Linked DNA regions of Arabidopsis thaliana. The protein of the gene in region 1 interacts with the protein of each later gene in a pairwise test. Each region holds a gene or a part of one and is shown in the gene's direction. Other genes may lie near its edges.

The links. The genes of interacting proteins can lie anywhere in the genome.
Region 2: the proteins of AT1G72175 (region 1) and AT5G49770 interact in a protein complementation assay, tested with the Arabidopsis thaliana proteins (one large-scale study listed by BioGRID).

The regions. Positions count from the first base shown.
Region 1 is NC_003070.9:27,155,242-27,162,185, forward strand, and holds AT1G72175 (E3 ubiquitin-protein ligase RNF170-like protein (DUF 1232)), read left to right. Parts: upstream 1-2,633; 5' UTR 2,634-2,736; coding exon 2,737-2,827; exon of another isoform or gene 2,828-3,296; coding exon 3,297-3,496; intron 3,497-3,656; coding exon 3,657-3,758; intron 3,759-3,872; coding exon 3,873-3,924; intron 3,925-4,005; coding exon 4,006-4,118; 3' UTR 4,119-4,494; downstream 4,495-6,944. Other genes in the region: AT1G72160 (Sec14p-like phosphatidylinositol transfer family protein), read right to left, coding at 1-368; AT1G72170 (MICOS complex subunit, putative (DUF543)), read left to right, coding at 1,162-1,294, 1,514-1,674, 2,261-2,275.
Region 2 is NC_003076.8:20,219,596-20,229,554, forward strand, and holds AT5G49770 (Leucine-rich repeat protein kinase family protein), read left to right. Parts: upstream 1-3,073; 5' UTR 3,074-3,264; coding exon 3,265-3,358; intron 3,359-3,446; coding exon 3,447-3,570; intron 3,571-3,671; coding exon 3,672-3,743; intron 3,744-3,819; coding exon 3,820-3,894; intron 3,895-3,981; coding exon 3,982-4,053; intron 4,054-4,150; coding exon 4,151-4,315; intron 4,316-4,411; coding exon 4,412-4,486; intron 4,487-4,585; coding exon 4,586-4,657; intron 4,658-4,736; coding exon 4,737-4,808; intron 4,809-4,895; coding exon 4,896-4,964; intron 4,965-5,069; coding exon 5,070-5,144; intron 5,145-5,226; coding exon 5,227-5,298; intron 5,299-5,397; coding exon 5,398-5,532; intron 5,533-5,606; coding exon 5,607-6,085; intron 6,086-6,167; coding exon 6,168-6,320; intron 6,321-6,407; coding exon 6,408-6,544; intron 6,545-6,625; coding exon 6,626-6,845; intron 6,846-6,914; coding exon 6,915-7,150; intron 7,151-7,228; coding exon 7,229-7,672; 3' UTR 7,673-7,871; and 1 more. Other genes in the region: AT5G49760 (Leucine-rich repeat protein kinase family protein), read left to right, coding at 1-85, 155-291, 381-600, 674-909, 984-1,457; AT5G49780 (Leucine-rich repeat protein kinase family protein), read left to right, coding at 9,220-9,307, 9,391-9,511, 9,589-9,660, 9,737-9,811, 9,897-9,959.

The DNA.
Region 1 (6,944 bases):
TCGGAATTAGATAGATCAGAAAGTTTGCTGCTTTCTTCTTTGAATGAACCAAGATTCTGTGGAATCATACTCTTTTTCTCTTCAGCTACTTCTTTCTGCGATGCTTCGTCTTTAACCTCTTGTTTCTCCGTCGATGCAGTTTCTGTTTCCGTCACTGTCGGTGGATGATGCTCTGCCGCGGTTTCTTCTTCTGGCTTGGTGGTGGTATCTGCAGTTTCCGGTGGATTAGTCTCAGTCACTTTCTCCAGAGTTTCTGTCTCTGTCGGTAGGGCATCTTGAGTAGATTCAGATACTTCAGAAGGCGTGAGGCTCGGAGAAGGTAGCTTTTCCGGTGTAACGAGAGTGGTAGTAGTAGGTTCTTCAGCCATTTTTTACTTGTGCCGTCTTGTTCTGTGATTGTTGTTCCTAAATTGGGCAAAAGTGAATTTTGGGTTTATAGAAAGAAAGAAAGAAAGTGGAGACAAAAAAATACGTTGAGACGTCGTCGTAAGTACAAAAGGGTATATTGGTAATGCCAATCGAACCGGTTTTTTTATTTTATTTTATTTTTGTTGTAAAAAGATTAATATATTTTCTCGTTTTAGCATCAATTCCAAATTATATATCAGGATTTTTGGTGTGACAAAAAAGACAAAACAATCGTGAAATTGGATCCAATGACATTTGAAGTATACATTTTTATCTTTCAATTTTGAATAATAATAAAAAAAAAAAAGTAAAAACAGAAGAGATCCACGTGAAAAATCATATGTTTGATTTTTTTATTCCTTTGTTTTTTGTTTCTTTTTTTGGCGTCCTGACACCTTCACTGCTCTACGAATCCAACCAACACTGTAAAAATTCTATTTTGTCTCAGTTAAAATTCTAATATAATCCAGTTGTTGGTTACAGTATTTTCCAAAACAATACTTTTAGAACCATATAACAATAATCTAAACCAAACAGAAAACTCAAAACTCGATCAGTTTTTTTTTTTGTTTTAAACAGCCTTAGTGGCCAATGTTTACGGCCCATCATAACAACATATTGGGCCTAAGTTAAGGCCACGTTTATTGTGGGCTCTATAGATCGGTAAAGTCAAGAAAAGGAAATCACGAACAACGGAAGAACAAAACTCTGAGCGAATCAATCAATCGGAAAAAGGAGATAGGTTTCGCGAAAATGGCGGAGAAAAAGGATAGTGTGCCACCGGAATACGATGTGAATGCTAAGTGGGACGCATGTCTCGATCTCACTGTCCGCCGCTTCGTTTACTCTTCCCTCGGCGGCGCATTTGCCGGTCTTCTGTTCTTCAGTTCGGTGTTTCTATATCTCCCTACTCGATTCTCGTTTTCTTATTACTTGCTTGTAGCTGTTTTATGATAGATGTGTAGTGTTATTACGAGAATCACTATGAATTAGGGTTTTAGAGTGTTTAATTTCTCCAATTTGAATCATATATTGTTCCAGTTCTTGAATTATTACTTGCCTTGAGATTGTTTTTGTGCATAATTTAGTTTCTGATTTTGTATAGGGAGTCCTGTTACAAGATGGGCATCGATTGCTTTAGGTGCTGGAATTGGTATTGGCTCTGCATATTCAGATTGTTCTCGTGCTTTTGATTCACCTTCTTCATCTTCAGCTAATTTAGCAGCTCCCAAGAATAATATTACAGAGACTTCTCCTGTATCTCAGGTTAGTTGGAATCTCTTTTGGTAAATGCATTTGTTTGGGGGAAGCAATGCATTAGTTTGGTACAAAATTGATACTAGGGAGAAGATGTTAAACTTTAGAAAGGTTATCGTTTAGCTGATGGATATAAGAAGTTAAGAACCAACTTCTTTGCAGATGATTAAAAGTAAATTGAGAAAGTTAAGCATGGCATTTGTTAAACTTTATAGTTCACTAGACATCTTGAGAATTGTCTTAAGATAACATATACATGTTTGTTAGCGTCGTAGTGATTGCTAATGAACTACGAATTGTTAAATAACGACTCATAGAGTACTAGATATCTATCCTTCTTTCATAGCATAGTTCCCTCTTGCAACTTCCATTGTTTGTAGTGTTCAATATAAGCAGAGTAACACAAGTAAAAAGCAGGAAAAAGTTATAATTGCAAATACGAGTGATGGTTAGTTCATGAGTGATCATTGTCTATGAGTACTAAAGATATATGTCGTTCGCCTGGTTTACCTCTGACGAATCGATCATCTTAAACCCATGAGAATGTAAAAGAACATAAGGTTGAATATTTTCTTTATTCTTCTTATTTTTGCAGGCTGCAGACGAGTAGACAATGTCGATAAAGTGGAAGTTAGTAACACATCCAATGATCGGGGTGTTCAGAAACAGAGCTATTATCATGCAATGCTTTGTTGAATTGTTTCCTAAACCTGCAAAGACAAGAGTCTATTGAGATAATGTCAAATGTAAAAACCTTTTTTTATTCGCTCTATCTCTCTCCCAGTGGTTTTGAACAAGTGAATACAAAAATGTTGCATCAATCACCCATTCTATTTTTTCAACCTCAACAAGGATCATCATGCCAACGACGTCGTTTTCATGTGTTGAAAATTTTCAAACCGGAAATAACCGAGAGGGTCCCACAAGAGCAATAATAATATTAAAAAAATATCGAACCAATCAGAGTTCCGATGGACCGCCATAGTCACCGACTAAAAAAACCAGCGACCACGTAAATCTTTGACGACGAGGAGGAGGAGGAGGAGAAGAATAAACGGAAGAAACTAAGAGATGAATAGTCCACCGGAGAACGATCTTTGTTCGATATGTCATTCCCACTTCACCGCTCCTTGTCAAGCCAATTGTTCCCATTGGTTCTGCGGTTTACCTCTCTCTATCTCTCTCAATCCTTTCGAGTCTTTGATTCGTTTCTCTTGTCTCTTCGCTAACTCTGTTCAATGAGATCGGAAATTTTTTGCCTGAATTTGTGCCCATTTGTTTTCCTTTTTGTCATTGACTGTTATTGCCTACGAGCCTCCTGAATCTTGATCGTTAGCTTTTGGTTAAAGATTAAATTTTGCCTTTAGAATCCAATCAGCATAAGTTTGTAATCTCAAAGTTCCAAACTTGAACAATTTTGTTTACCCTCTCTCTGCTTTCACTACCGATTACAGATTCTTGGATTTGGTTGAGTTCGGTGATTACTTGCTTAGAACATATAGATTTCTTGGCTTACTAGTTTTTTCAAGTCCACTGGTCTAATTACGAAGTTTGCGTGGTTTCATTGCAACGAAAGATTCTGCCTTTTCTGTGATCTGTCGCTCTAACTCTTCTTTTCACTTTGCTTTTAGGGAACTGCATTATGCTGGTGTGGAGGCATGGATCTACATTACAGCCATGTAAATGCCCTTTGTGTCGTCGTCATATTAGTTTGTTGGTTCCTTCAGAGGACACAATCAGAGACCGTAATGACGCTACAGTTAAGGAGGTTCTTGGTAATCTTGAAACTTACAACCGACTCTTTGGCGGGCGTTCAAGTAGTTTAGTTCAGGTATGTGTTCTATCTCTGTGTTTTAAGTTGCTTGTTTGGTCTTTTGTGGAAAAAGTGAATGTGTTTTAGTTTTTGAGATATATAAGACTTCCATGAATCCCCCCATAAGTAGGATTGTAATGTCAAATCGCTCATAAGGAAATTCTTATTCCCTTGGCAGAGGATGCAAGACCTGCCCTTCTTACTACGGAGGTTGTTGCGGGAAATGATGGATCCACAAAGAACGCTTCCACTTGTCATTAGGGCTCGGGTTTATATCGCAGTTAAGTTCGATGACATCTTGATCTCTCTGTTTATACATAGATTAGTCATGTTATGGGTAGTTACTGTTCCATTTGGTGTCAAACATGACGCAGTTTCTTTGTATTGGATGCAGATGATTCTCAGTGCTGTTTACATAATCAGTCCAATAGATATCATTCCAGAAGGTGATTTTTTTTTTAATCCTATGAATCTTTTCTTTGTCTCCCTGTCTTCTCACAAATCCTTTCTTAACTAATTTTTCTTAGGAGTTCTGGGGGTAGTCGGTTTGCTTGATGATCTACTCATAGCACTGATTTGTTTCCTCCATGTTGCTGCTCTGTACCGCTCGGTTCTCTATTTCCGTCATGCCGGTTCGTGAATCAATGAGTGTCTTTGACATTATACGTTGCAGTTCAAGAACTAGAGATGTGTGCTTACCTTTTCTTCTGTCTTTGATCCTTTCCCTTTACAAATACACAATTGTTCTGTTTAGCTAAGGAAAACTGAAATGTGTGATGATAAAGATCACAGCACAAAAAGCTTGGAAGTACATATCAATCATCTTCCTACCACTTCCTATACGCTAGTCTTTTTGACCCTTCCACTCAAATTTATCAATTATGGTTTCGACCGTTGACTCGAGAAACTCTGAGATGGGTCATGGTGATGGGAACAAAAACTTTACTTCAGTCTCTGTTCTCTCAGCTACAAATCAAATATTGAGTGGTCCTCTTCTGGAAACCTTGATAGGTCTTACTCTTACCTCAGTAGCTGCTGAATAGTCTTCACAGGTTTTTACGATCTTAGTATCCGTTTATTGGCCATAACCGATACGGTGTAGTAGATTTAAGAAGTTCTTTCGGAAGTCTCACACGCTAAAGGAATAACTTTGCAATTTACTCTAGTTTATCGATATTTCAAGAATCAAAAGATTACTACTCGATGTCTAGAAGTTTCCGCTATGTAGAAAACTTGGTTGTTTCAAAATGTCGTTTTGATGGTTTGGCCTAAAATTTAAAGTGGTTTATCCACTAGTAGTCTCTAAGTGTTGAACCGTAGAACAGATTTTCCATTTATAGAGAGACAATACAATGTGTCATAGATGAGTGGACCACAAGATAGAACCACAAAAAAAAATTTGTCTCAACATGGTCACACGTGCATAGTACACGTACAGCTTTCGTGGATTCTATTCACATGGTATCAATCAAAAACACATACGCGTGATAGACTCATCTTTTTCATGTGCATGTCCCGAAAGTGACGTTGCTCCACTGGAACTCACCGCCTAAAAATCCCATCTTCAAAACGTTTCTCTTGGCCCTCGATATAAATGCATTGGTTACCAAATTGTCGATATTATTGCTTCAATCATGATTCGGCTTCATTGGTATATCCGTATATATCCCTTGTCACGTAAGGCAAACACATAAAATATATGATAAAAACAAAAATTAATGGAGTTGAATTTAGTGTTACCTATAACGGGTATTAATTATACAAAAGTATGTAAATTAGTAAAATAGTGAATCGCCCATGAAGTTGCATAATCTTGTCTTGTAAACAAATGTATTGTAATGACGTGACGTTGTGTTAGTAGAGGTATGGAGACAGATATGCTCTTCTGATCAGTTTCTCGTCCGATCAATATTATTATCATTGTGGGACGGTCCTACTCGACAAATTATAGAGACACCCACGTTTACATTATTGTAAATATTTATATTTTTAGCTAACTTCGGGCCTACTGTCACTATTTGCTAGCTATATTTTCTTCAAAATGAAACCGTCATCTATATTCAATGTCCTGTTTCAAATAAGCTCAAAATATTTTGGTCAAAATTACCTTTACTTGATGGAATTTTGCAATGCTTGATACATTATGTTTATGCAATTTTATGGTGCATTATTATATGTATGTAAAGTATCTAATTTTTAAGTATACTCAACAACGAATAACTAAAACATAGATCATATCTAACACTAGTGTTTGTCTCTAGCGATAATAAAACTTTAAATTCTCTAATGTCTCTACCAATAGAATATTTTTGTGTGATATATATGTATATATAGAGCAAACAATGTGGAAAGCGACTGGGAAAATAAAGGAACCAAATGAGAAAGGGAAGGGATACAGCTGGGGAAGTCAACATCCAAATCAAAGATCTTTTGATTCTCACTCACATATCCCTTTATTAAACCGTATCTCTTCCCATTTAAACCGACACAAGAAAATTTATTAGGTATCACGGTTAATACTTTATTATTCAGTAGAAAGTATTAGTATTTAAACAACTAAAGAGAAGTTTTTTTTTTTTCTTGCAATAGCTAAAATTCCATTTTGTATACTCTTAAAAAAACTATGTTAGTATTATTGATTTTGGCCAAATGTATGGGGGGATTTTTTTTTTATAGTATTCTCATCTACTTTTTGTTTTTGTTATTGACTGTCTCTGATTTCTTTCTCGTGTATTGTCTCACTTTTTAAATCATTATCTTAGATTTTTCTTAATAAAATAAAGAAGCAACATACTATATACTATTCTAACATGTAGGATGATAACCTTGTAAGGGCCATAACTTTATGGAATTTCATTTGTAAGTTTGAATAATTACCAATCGAGTGAAGTGAGCATGAAAACAAAGTGATTCAGTGAAAGGGGTACATTTATAACCACATAATCATCATATACTAACCATTTCACTATCTATTACCGTTTCTAAATATTTTACTGTATTATGGTCCTTTAATTTGTGTTTTAACTTTTAGTGGCTAAACGATGCCATAGGACCCAAGGCCATCACACATTGATATCAATCAGAAAGAGAATAAGCAATTATAAGTTTTCATAATAAATATGTGATATAAAACTTGGAGATAAATCAGAATGGGATTCGGAGCATAAGGGGATAACATTAGAGAGATGGATGTAGAAAGAAAAGGACATTGAGTAGGTTAGACGATTCTTATCAAACTTCACTTAAAAGGGTAATCGACCCAACAACATTTTAGTTCTCTCTTTCTTTTTTGGTTCTTTAATTTTAATTTATTTTCCAGACTGTAAACGAATATTAACACTACAGAAGAAACCAAAAATGTTTTTTTTTTCGGCCTAACTATTTGGGATCAATACGATTCGTTGCTTATTTTTTTCTAGTAACCTTCATAGGTTTCTCCAAGCTTTCATTATTTATTGTAATTGAT
Region 2 (9,959 bases), on another chromosome or scaffold:
CTACTATTGTTAACAATAGCTGGGATTTACGCTCTTAGGCAGAAGAAGAGAGCTGAAAGAGCAACTGGTCAAAATAATCCTTTTGGTAAGACAACAATATTTACTACTCCCTTGACTAAAATAGCATGAACAAATTTTCTTTGGCATGTTGCAGCTAAATGGGATACAAGTAAGAGTAGTATTGATGCTCCGCAGCTAATGGGAGCAAAAGCGTTTACTTTTGAGGAGCTGAAGAAATGCACTGACAACTTTTCAGAGGCAAATGATGTTGGCGGTGGAGGTTACGGCAAGGTTTGTGTCTTAACAAATGCCTTCAAATGAATGTAACAACTAATGGCCTTAGTTGAAATTCATGATCCCAAATTTTGATGGTTAAATAGGTTTATAGAGGGATTCTTCCTAATGGGCAACTCATAGCAATCAAAAGGGCTCAACAAGGATCTTTGCAAGGAGGGTTGGAGTTCAAAACTGAGATTGAGCTTCTCTCAAGGGTCCATCATAAGAATGTTGTCAGACTCTTGGGCTTCTGCTTTGACCGGAATGAACAAATGCTCGTATACGAGTACATTTCAAATGGGTCACTTAAAGACAGTCTGTCCGGTAAGATCAAACTTCTATCTTCCTCATGAGGATTTCAGATAGTTCTTGGATGCTGAATATGTTAGTAATGCAGGGAAGAGTGGGATTCGATTGGATTGGACAAGAAGACTTAAAATAGCACTTGGTTCAGGCAAGGGCTTGGCTTATCTTCATGAACTTGCTGATCCTCCAATTATACATAGAGACATCAAATCAAATAACATATTACTTGATGAAAATCTAACCGCAAAGGTTGCCGACTTCGGTCTCTCCAAACTTGTGGGAGACCCTGAGAAAACTCATGTCACAACACAAGTCAAAGGAACCATGGTGAGTAGAAAATTTATCCTCCTTTCTCTTTTTTTCTCAAATACATTTTAAACTTACAATATCTTTGTAATCAGGGCTACTTGGATCCAGAGTACTACATGACGAATCAATTAACGGAGAAGAGCGATGTGTATGGGTTTGGTGTGGTTTTACTCGAGCTATTAACCGGTAGAAGTCCGATAGAGAGAGGCAAATATGTGGTGAGAGAGGTGAAGACAAAGATGAATAAATCTCGGAGTTTGTATGACCTGCAGGAGTTGTTGGACACAACGATCATAGCAAGCAGTGGGAATCTAAAAGGGTTCGAGAAGTATGTAGACTTGGCTTTGAGATGTGTGGAGGAGGAAGGAGTTAATAGGCCATCAATGGGTGAGGTTGTGAAAGAGATTGAGAACATAATGCAGCTTGCGGGATTAAATCCTAACTCAGATTCAGCAACGAGTTCAAGAACGTATGAGGACGCAATCAAAGGATCTGGTGATCCTTATGGCAGTGAATCGTTTCAGTACAGTGGGAATTTTCCAGCTTCAAAGCTTGAGCCCCAATGATTGATTATGTTTCTTTTTGTTATTTTGTTATTTCGTAAGTGACTTCATACTTGAAATGCCTTGTGAATGTGGAGTAGCATGATTCTGTTTGATATGTGGTCGCTGATTATAAAGCAGATGAATGGAGAGCCAAACGCAGAATCAAAAACCACCAGATCTTTGGCAATGTCGACACCAGTTTCAAACATAAGAAAAGTAATCAAGCTCAATGTATGATGAATAATTGAATATATTAATTCTTGTTGAGAAGTTTGTGTGGTTTCAAAGATTTAATCCACACATCACACACACTTTTAATTTACTCCAAACCTTTCACATTTATGCATGAGATTATATTACAAATTTATATTACAAATAATTTGTAGTACGTAAGTAAAATTAGTATTAACTAATAAGAAAAAAAAGTAATAAAGTTATTGGGTTTGCAACCTAACACATCAACGATCCCATCGAACAACAACAGTTACATGACCCAGGGTGAATTTATGGTTGTCGTCTCATCTGAGAGCACTCTCTGATCTAGTGTCCTTGTTGTCCACACCTCAAACACGCCCCCAAAATGTATGACATGATTTAACAAAAAATAAAAAGAAACATGATTTAAGACATGTGGTGTGTGGCAACTCTGCCATATATTTCATGGTGAGGTAGCGAACCGGCACCAAGTTTTTCTCGATATGTTTCCTCCATTTACCATTCTTTACGGTAGACTACGGTAGACTCATAACTTTTTTTATACCGGAGTCATATCGTATTAGTTTCTTAAGAGGATTAAAGCACACATATGTTTTTGTGTCTTATTTACTACAAAAAGTCTTTTTACTAAAACACTAACAAAACAAAAATAACATACAAAAAAAATAAGAAAAGTGGTGGGATGTGGCCAAATAGCATTAGCATACATACGTAGGAAAAAAATAGACGATGTGGTCATATGTCAGAGTGGTCAAGGTCCCATCCCATCTCTGAGTTTTCCGTCGGTTTGGAGTATATTGATCGGAGAATATGATATGGGCAAAAAAAAAAAATCGATTAATTTTTAATCAATTTGGGGTACACTGAAAACAAAAAATATTTTTTTTATTAATTTACTTGGAGGAAGTACTGGTCAATATAACATCAAACCATCAGCATCATTCATTGTTGTTGCAATTAGTATTATTATCTCAAGTTGATAAAAGCTTGTGCTGATTTTTTCCATGACCATGACTTTATTGCATGTTGCTGTTAGAAAAACCATATCAGTGCATAGTCGCTTACCATTACTCTATTTCAAAAATCTCTCTTTTCTTGAGAAGAAACGTTCTAGGAAAACAAATAATATATACATGACTTCTCCCAGTTTTGTGCAGAAACAATTAAATGTTAGATCATTTAGTTAAGTTTTGTTACATATTGCATATTTATGCTTTATCATGTAAACAGATTTATTTATGTAGTTAATAAAGGACTAGTCTATTATAATGGTGTTTTGTGCCAAGTCATTGTTCATAATTTGTTCCTCCACATTACCGTATTGACATTTCAATTTCTCCCTTGGATAATACCTTTGAACCCTTCCGCAATATATAGCGGTTCTTTATTATCTATATCAAGTTGAACTATTTGTTTATATGGTCCACTGTCTATTTGTTTGCTTTATTTATAAATTTTCGCTTAACTTGTTCAAAGTCTTCTCCTTTATGTCTTACATGCTTTGTTAGCAAAGAACATGGAGGCTGCATTTTTATGTTAGAGTTCGTCATAACTTGTGCAGACCACATGCTTTCTTCTTGAACGAATTGTGATACATATCATTGTGTGTCTGATGAAGATGAGTTCAAGAATTGGATTATTTAAGCTCTTGATCTTGCTTTTCTTCCAAATTTACTCTGTTTATGCGTTCACAGATGGTTCAGATTGTAAGTATAAGTAGATGATGATCAGAGTTCTTTTAACAGATAAAGATTTCCAATTTTTTGTATTTTAATTCTTTCAATATTGGTGCAGTTACTGCTTTACAAGCCCTGAAGAACGAATGGGACACGTTATCCAAGAGTTGGAAAAGCTCTGATCCTTGTGGAACCGAATGGGTTGGAATTACATGTAACAACGATAACCGTGTTGTTTCAATGTAACACCTTGGTCCCTTTCTTTGTTTGTTCTTTTGCTGCTTCTTTCTTCAATATAATCCTCTATATACAGACTTTAAGCTGTGTTATTTGCTTGTTTCAGATCATTAACCAACCGTAACTTGAAAGGAAAGCTTCCTACCGAAATTTCGACATTGTCTGAATTGCAAACCTTGTAGGTCTTTCTTCTTCTTCTTTTTCCTTTGCATAAAAATGGATTTAGTTCTCATCTTATGATTCGATGTTTGCAGGGATTTGACTGGCAATCCTGAATTGTCTGGACCGCTTCCAGCAAATATCGGTAACCTCAGGAAGTTGACTTTCTTGTAAGCAAAGTAAACAAGATCTTAACCTAATTCCATCAATCGCATTATCTTATATATCGCCTTTTCTTTTGTTGTTTTCTTCTCTAGGAGCCTTATGGGATGTGCTTTTAATGGTCCAATCCCTGATTCCATAGGGAATCTTGAACAACTTACAAGACTGTAAGATTTGTTGCTTCTTATAATTTATAAACAGTCACTTTTTCAATGTAATCTTTAAAACTCATAATAAGTATTACTTTGCGTTTCCTCCATACAGCTCTCTGAATTTAAATAAATTTAGTGGAACAATTCCGGCTTCCATGGGACGGTTATCGAAACTATATTGGTTCGACATAGCTGACAATCAGTTAGAAGGAAAGCTTCCAGTTTCTGATGGGGCTTCTTTACCTGGACTTGACATGCTTCTTCAAACTGGGCATTTGTATATATAATCCCAAATCCTTAGTTTTCATTTTTATTTAGTTACTCTTTATATATAACATTCATCACTCTGACTCTCTTTTACTTTCTTTTGTAGTCATTTTGGTAATAACAAGCTTTCAGGCGAAATCCCAGAGAAGCTCTTTAGCTCAGAAATGACTTTGCTACATGTGTAAGTTTCATAGTACATGCAAAAGCTGAGAGTTTTCACTAGTTGATATTAGAAACTAACAAAGTGATGATTGCATTTTTGTTCTTGTTTTATCAATAGGCTGTTTGATGGAAACCAATTCACCGGTAGCATCCCAGAGAGCCTCGGCCTAGTTCAAAATTTGACTGTGTTGTAAGTAGTAGAAATATATTTTCCAAACTGTATGTTCACAAAATTTCTTTAATCTTATAAGATATTTGCTTTGTTACAGACGTCTTGATAGGAATAGACTAAGTGGAGACATTCCTTCAAGTCTTAATAATCTCACAAATCTTCAAGAACTGTAAGTGAGCAAATAAAGATTTGTTCTGTTTTCTTAAGATATATAAATGAAAAGATGTAAAAGATCTTGTAGTTGAATCCATTTCAGGCATTTGTCCGACAACAAATTTACAGGTAGTCTTCCAAATTTGACCAGCTTGACCAGTCTCTACACATTGTAAGTTTCAATATTTTTCTTCCTCGTTTGTTGCTCAAATTTAGCATCAGAAACCTTTCTTATTAATAATCAATCTAATGCCATGATATGATTATTATGTAACAGGGATGTGAGCAATAACCCGTTGGCGTTATCACCGGTTCCATCATGGATCCCTTTCTTAAACTCTTTGTCAACATTGTATGAGCATTCCTCTCTCTTTTTAGATATATATAGATTTGTGAGCATACATAATGAGAAAAAATGGTCTTCAACTTGGCAGAAGGTTGGAAGATATCCAACTTGATGGTCCAGTACCAACCTCCCTTTTTAGCCCTCTTCAATTGCAAACTGTGTGAGTCAAATAAGTCATGATCATGAATGTTCAATTGGAAAGTCAACTCAAAGATTTGTGAAACATGTACTGATTGGGATGGTTTTTCTTGACTTGCAGTTCCCTAAAGCACAATCTTATAAACACAACATTGGACCTTGGTACCAACTATAGCAAACAATTGGATTTTGTGGATTTACGAGACAACTTCATAACTGGTTATAAATCACCAGCTAATAACCCCGTCAATGTAATGTATGTATTCATCTTTGACCAATATGTAACATCTTTGAAGAATAACTTACGTATGTGTGTTGATATATCCATAGGTTGGCAGATAATCAAGTGTGCCAAGACCCGGCGAATCAGCTGAGTGGCTACTGCAATGCAGTCCAACCAAATTCCACATTTTCTACCCTAACAAAATGTGGTAATCATTGTGGTAAAGGTAAGGAACCGAATCAAGGCTGCCACTGTGTGTATCCACTTACAGGAGTATTCACCTTAAGGTCTCCTTCATTCTCCGGATTTTCAAACAACAGTAACTTCCTAAAGTTTGGGGAGAGTTTAATGACTTTCTTTAAGAATGGCAAGTATCCTGTAGACTCTGTGGCCATGAGAAACATAAGCGAGAATCCAACTGATTATCATCTTTTGATAAATCTCTTGATCTTTCCATCGGGACGCGACCGCTTTAATCAGACGGAAATGGACTCTATTAATTCTGCATTTACCATTCAGGATTATAAGCCTCCTCCAAGATTTGGTCCTTATATTTTCGTCGCCGATCAGTACAAAACATTCTCTGGTATGATGAAACGTAACACACACTCAAACGAAATCTATATTGATTTAACTCATTTTACTTATAAGCCTTGTTTGTTTCACAGATTTAGAAGATTCCAAGACAGTAAGTATGAAAGTTATAATTGGAGTAGTAGTTGGTGTTGTAGTTCTTCTGTTGCTGTTGGCTTTAGCTGGGATTTACGCTCTTAGACAGAAGAAGAGAGCTCAGAGAGCAACTGATCAAATGAATCCTTTTGGTAAAAGAAAAATGGTTTAACACTAGAACAAAAGACTTTTCTCTTGTCTTATGAAAATCCTGACAGCTTCTCGTTTGTCTGTTGTAGCCAAGTGGGATGCGGGGAAGAATGAAATGGATGCTCCACAACTAATGGGAACAAAAGCCTTTACTTTCGAAGAGCTTAGCAAATGTACTAACAACTTTTCAGATGCAAATGATGTTGGCGGTGGAGGTTATGGCCAGGTTTGTGTATTTCCAATGTCCTCAACTGAAACAACCAGAGGTAGTAGTTCAAATTATAATACCAATTTGATGGTGAAACAGGTCTACAAAGGTACCCTTCCCAATGGGCAAGTCATAGCAATCAAAAGAGCTCAACAAGGATCCATGCAAGGAGCGTTCGAGTTTAAGACCGAGATTGAGCTTCTTTCAAGGGTCCATCATAAAAATGTTGTTAAGCTTTTGGGCTTCTGTTTTGATCAAAAAGAACAAATGCTCGTATACGAGTACATACCTAATGGGTCCCTTAGAGACGGTCTATCAGGTATATATTTAATCTCTATATATCTTGCTTTGTTAGTTCTTTGGTGCTGAACTTGAAAAACAAATGTAGGGAAGAATGGGGTTAAACTGGATTGGACAAGAAGGCTCAAAATAGCACTTGGCTCAGGGAAGGGTCTAGCTTATCTTCATGAGCTTGCTGATCCTCCAATTATACATAGAGACGTCAAATCAAATAACATATTACTTGATGAACATCTAACCGCAAAGGTTGCTGATTTCGGTCTCTCCAAACTTGTGGGGGACCCTGAAAAAGCTCATGTCACAACACAAGTGAAAGGAACCATGGTGAGTAAAAAAGAATCTATCATAAAATATATGAAACCATTAACTATAAAAACTAACAATATCTCTGGAATTAATTAGGGCTATCTTGATCCTGAGTACTACATGACGAATCAATTGACGGAGAAGAGCGATGTGTATGGGTTTGGTGTGGTGATGCTTGAGTTATTAACCGGTAAAAGTCCGATAGATAGAGGCAGCTATGTTGTGAAAGAGGTAAAGAAGAAGATGGATAAATCGAGGAACTTGTATGACTTACAAGAATTGTTGGACACGACAATTATCCAAAACAGCGGGAATTTGAAAGGGTTCGAGAAGTATGTAGATGTGGCTCTACAATGCGTGGAGCCAGAGGGAGTTAATAGGCCAACAATGAGTGAGGTGGTGCAAGAACTTGAGAGCATATTGCGGCTTGTTGGATTAAACCCTAACGCCGATTCAGCAACATACGAGGAAGCATCTGGTGATCCTTATGGTAGGGATTCGTTTGAGTACACTGGGGTTTTCCCAACTCCAAAACCCTAACGCAATAATTGATTAATTTGTTCTTTCTCAGTTTTTTATTGTTTTGTTTTTTGGTTATTTTGTAAGTGACTTTACAACCTTAAATGCCGTGTGAATGTGTGTGTACTAGCATGATTTGATTTTTGATATATGTTGTTTTGTGGTCGCTGCTTATAAAGTGTAAACAAGATTGGAATCAAAATAAACATCAACCCTAAGCAACCCTAAGTTGTCATGATACTAAATAAATCTAATCACCGGATTTTGAATATACTCTCTTTGAGGTTGTCTCAGCAGTCCGGTTGTCATGTCTCTACGGGTATCCCCACGCACATATACTGTGCCAAGCAAGGATGCTAGTGTGTCCTTCTTGAATCCGCGAACGGATGATCTTTCTCTATTCTCATGTTGTAGTTATGATTTTCTTAACTTCGTTCGTAATCAAGTGAATACTTTCAATAACAGACTTGTATACACACTTTTTGGTTTTTTACGGTTTACTATTACAGTATTAATCGATTTTCTACCATAAAATTAAACTGTTTATCTAGTAATTAAAAAAAAACTGACACAATATGAAAATAAAAATGGTCACAAAAAATAGAATTTCTTTAGTAAAATGAAAAAAAATCACTTAATTTGAAAATTTTTTTTTAAGAGAAAATATAGTGAATTGTTTAATCTATAATCATTTGAATTGCAAGAAACAAAAAACAAAGAAAACAAAAACCTATATTTTATTTGGAACGGAGTACTGGTCAATATATCATCAAAATATCAGCATCGTCGGTACTGCAATTAGTATATTATCTCAAGTTGGTAAAAGCTTACGCTGATTGTTTCCAGGACTTTGACCATGTTGTTGTTAGAAAACTATTTCGCTGACCTGAACCGTCTTGGGCAAGCCAATCATATCTAACGTTTTTAGTTTGTAGATTTCGTTTTTCTTTAAATGTTTGAATCATTAATGAGCGTTTTAATACATCATATTTAAAATGAGACACTAGTTTCTCATCACAATAACTGATCATCACGTTGGTTCCGTTTTGATTCAATATTTCGGGTCGATTTGATCCAAAAAAATATCCAAATATTGGAGTTAAAGCAGAGCAAACAAAATTACCCTTTTTTTTTTTTTTTGGACAAAACAAAAAAAATTACCTTCCTTTCAAAATAACTACTCCCTCTGTTTCAAAATAAATAGATTTCAAATTTCTAATAATCTTATATTCATAATTGGTTCTTTCCCATTAACCCTAGTGGCATTTCCATCTAACCACATTTTCCGAACCTTCCATTAATAGCATTCTCATATTTTATCAAGTGGAACTAGTCTTTAAATGATCCACTGCCAATTTCTATTATTTATATGTTTACTTTTACATTATTCAAAGTCTTCTCCTTCTTGTTTAACAATATTATGTAAATGTTTTGTTAGCGAGGAAGCTGTATTTTTGTATTCAAGACTATGTCATAACGTGTGCAAATCACATGCTTTCTCATTGAATGACTTTCCGATACAGTCAGAAGCAGGGAAAGAGAAAAAGAGATTCTTTGTGGGTCTCAAGATGAGTTCAAGAATTGAAGTCTTTGTGCTCTTGATCTTGCTTTCGTTCCAATTTTGTTCTGTATCTGCGCAGACAAATGGTTTCGATGGTAATTTATAGTTTGATGATGATCAGAGTTTTTCAGATACAGGAATTTCAAAGTCGTTTGAATGAGTTTCAAAATTGTTGCAGCTGATGCTTTACAATACCTGAAGAGTAGTTTGACCATACCTCCTCGGAATTGGAAAGGCTATGATCCTTGTGGAACCAATTGGGTTGGAATTGCATGTGAATATGGCCGCGTTGTTAACATGTAAGTATCTTTTTTTTTTTGCTGCTTCTTCCAATAATCATCTGCAGACTATAAAGTTGAGTTGTTGCTTGTCGCAGATCACTAGGCAACCTTAACTTGGAAGGAAAGCTTCCTGCCTTTATTACGACGTTGTCTGAATTGCATACCCTGTAGGTCTTTCTTCTTCTTCTTCTTCCTTTCCATACAAATGTTTTTGTTCTTCATCTTATGATCCAATATTTGTAGGGATTTGACATCTAATCCTAATTTGACCGGACCGCTTCCACTAAATATCGGTAACCTTAAGGAGTTGACGAACTTGTAAGATAAATAGGTCATGACCCATTTGTAAATTGTACACACTTTGTCTTATCACATATTTTAACTAAACTCCTTTTTTCTACAGAAATCTTATGGGATGTGGTTTCAGTGGTCAAATCCCTGAGTCCATAGGATCTCTAGAACAACT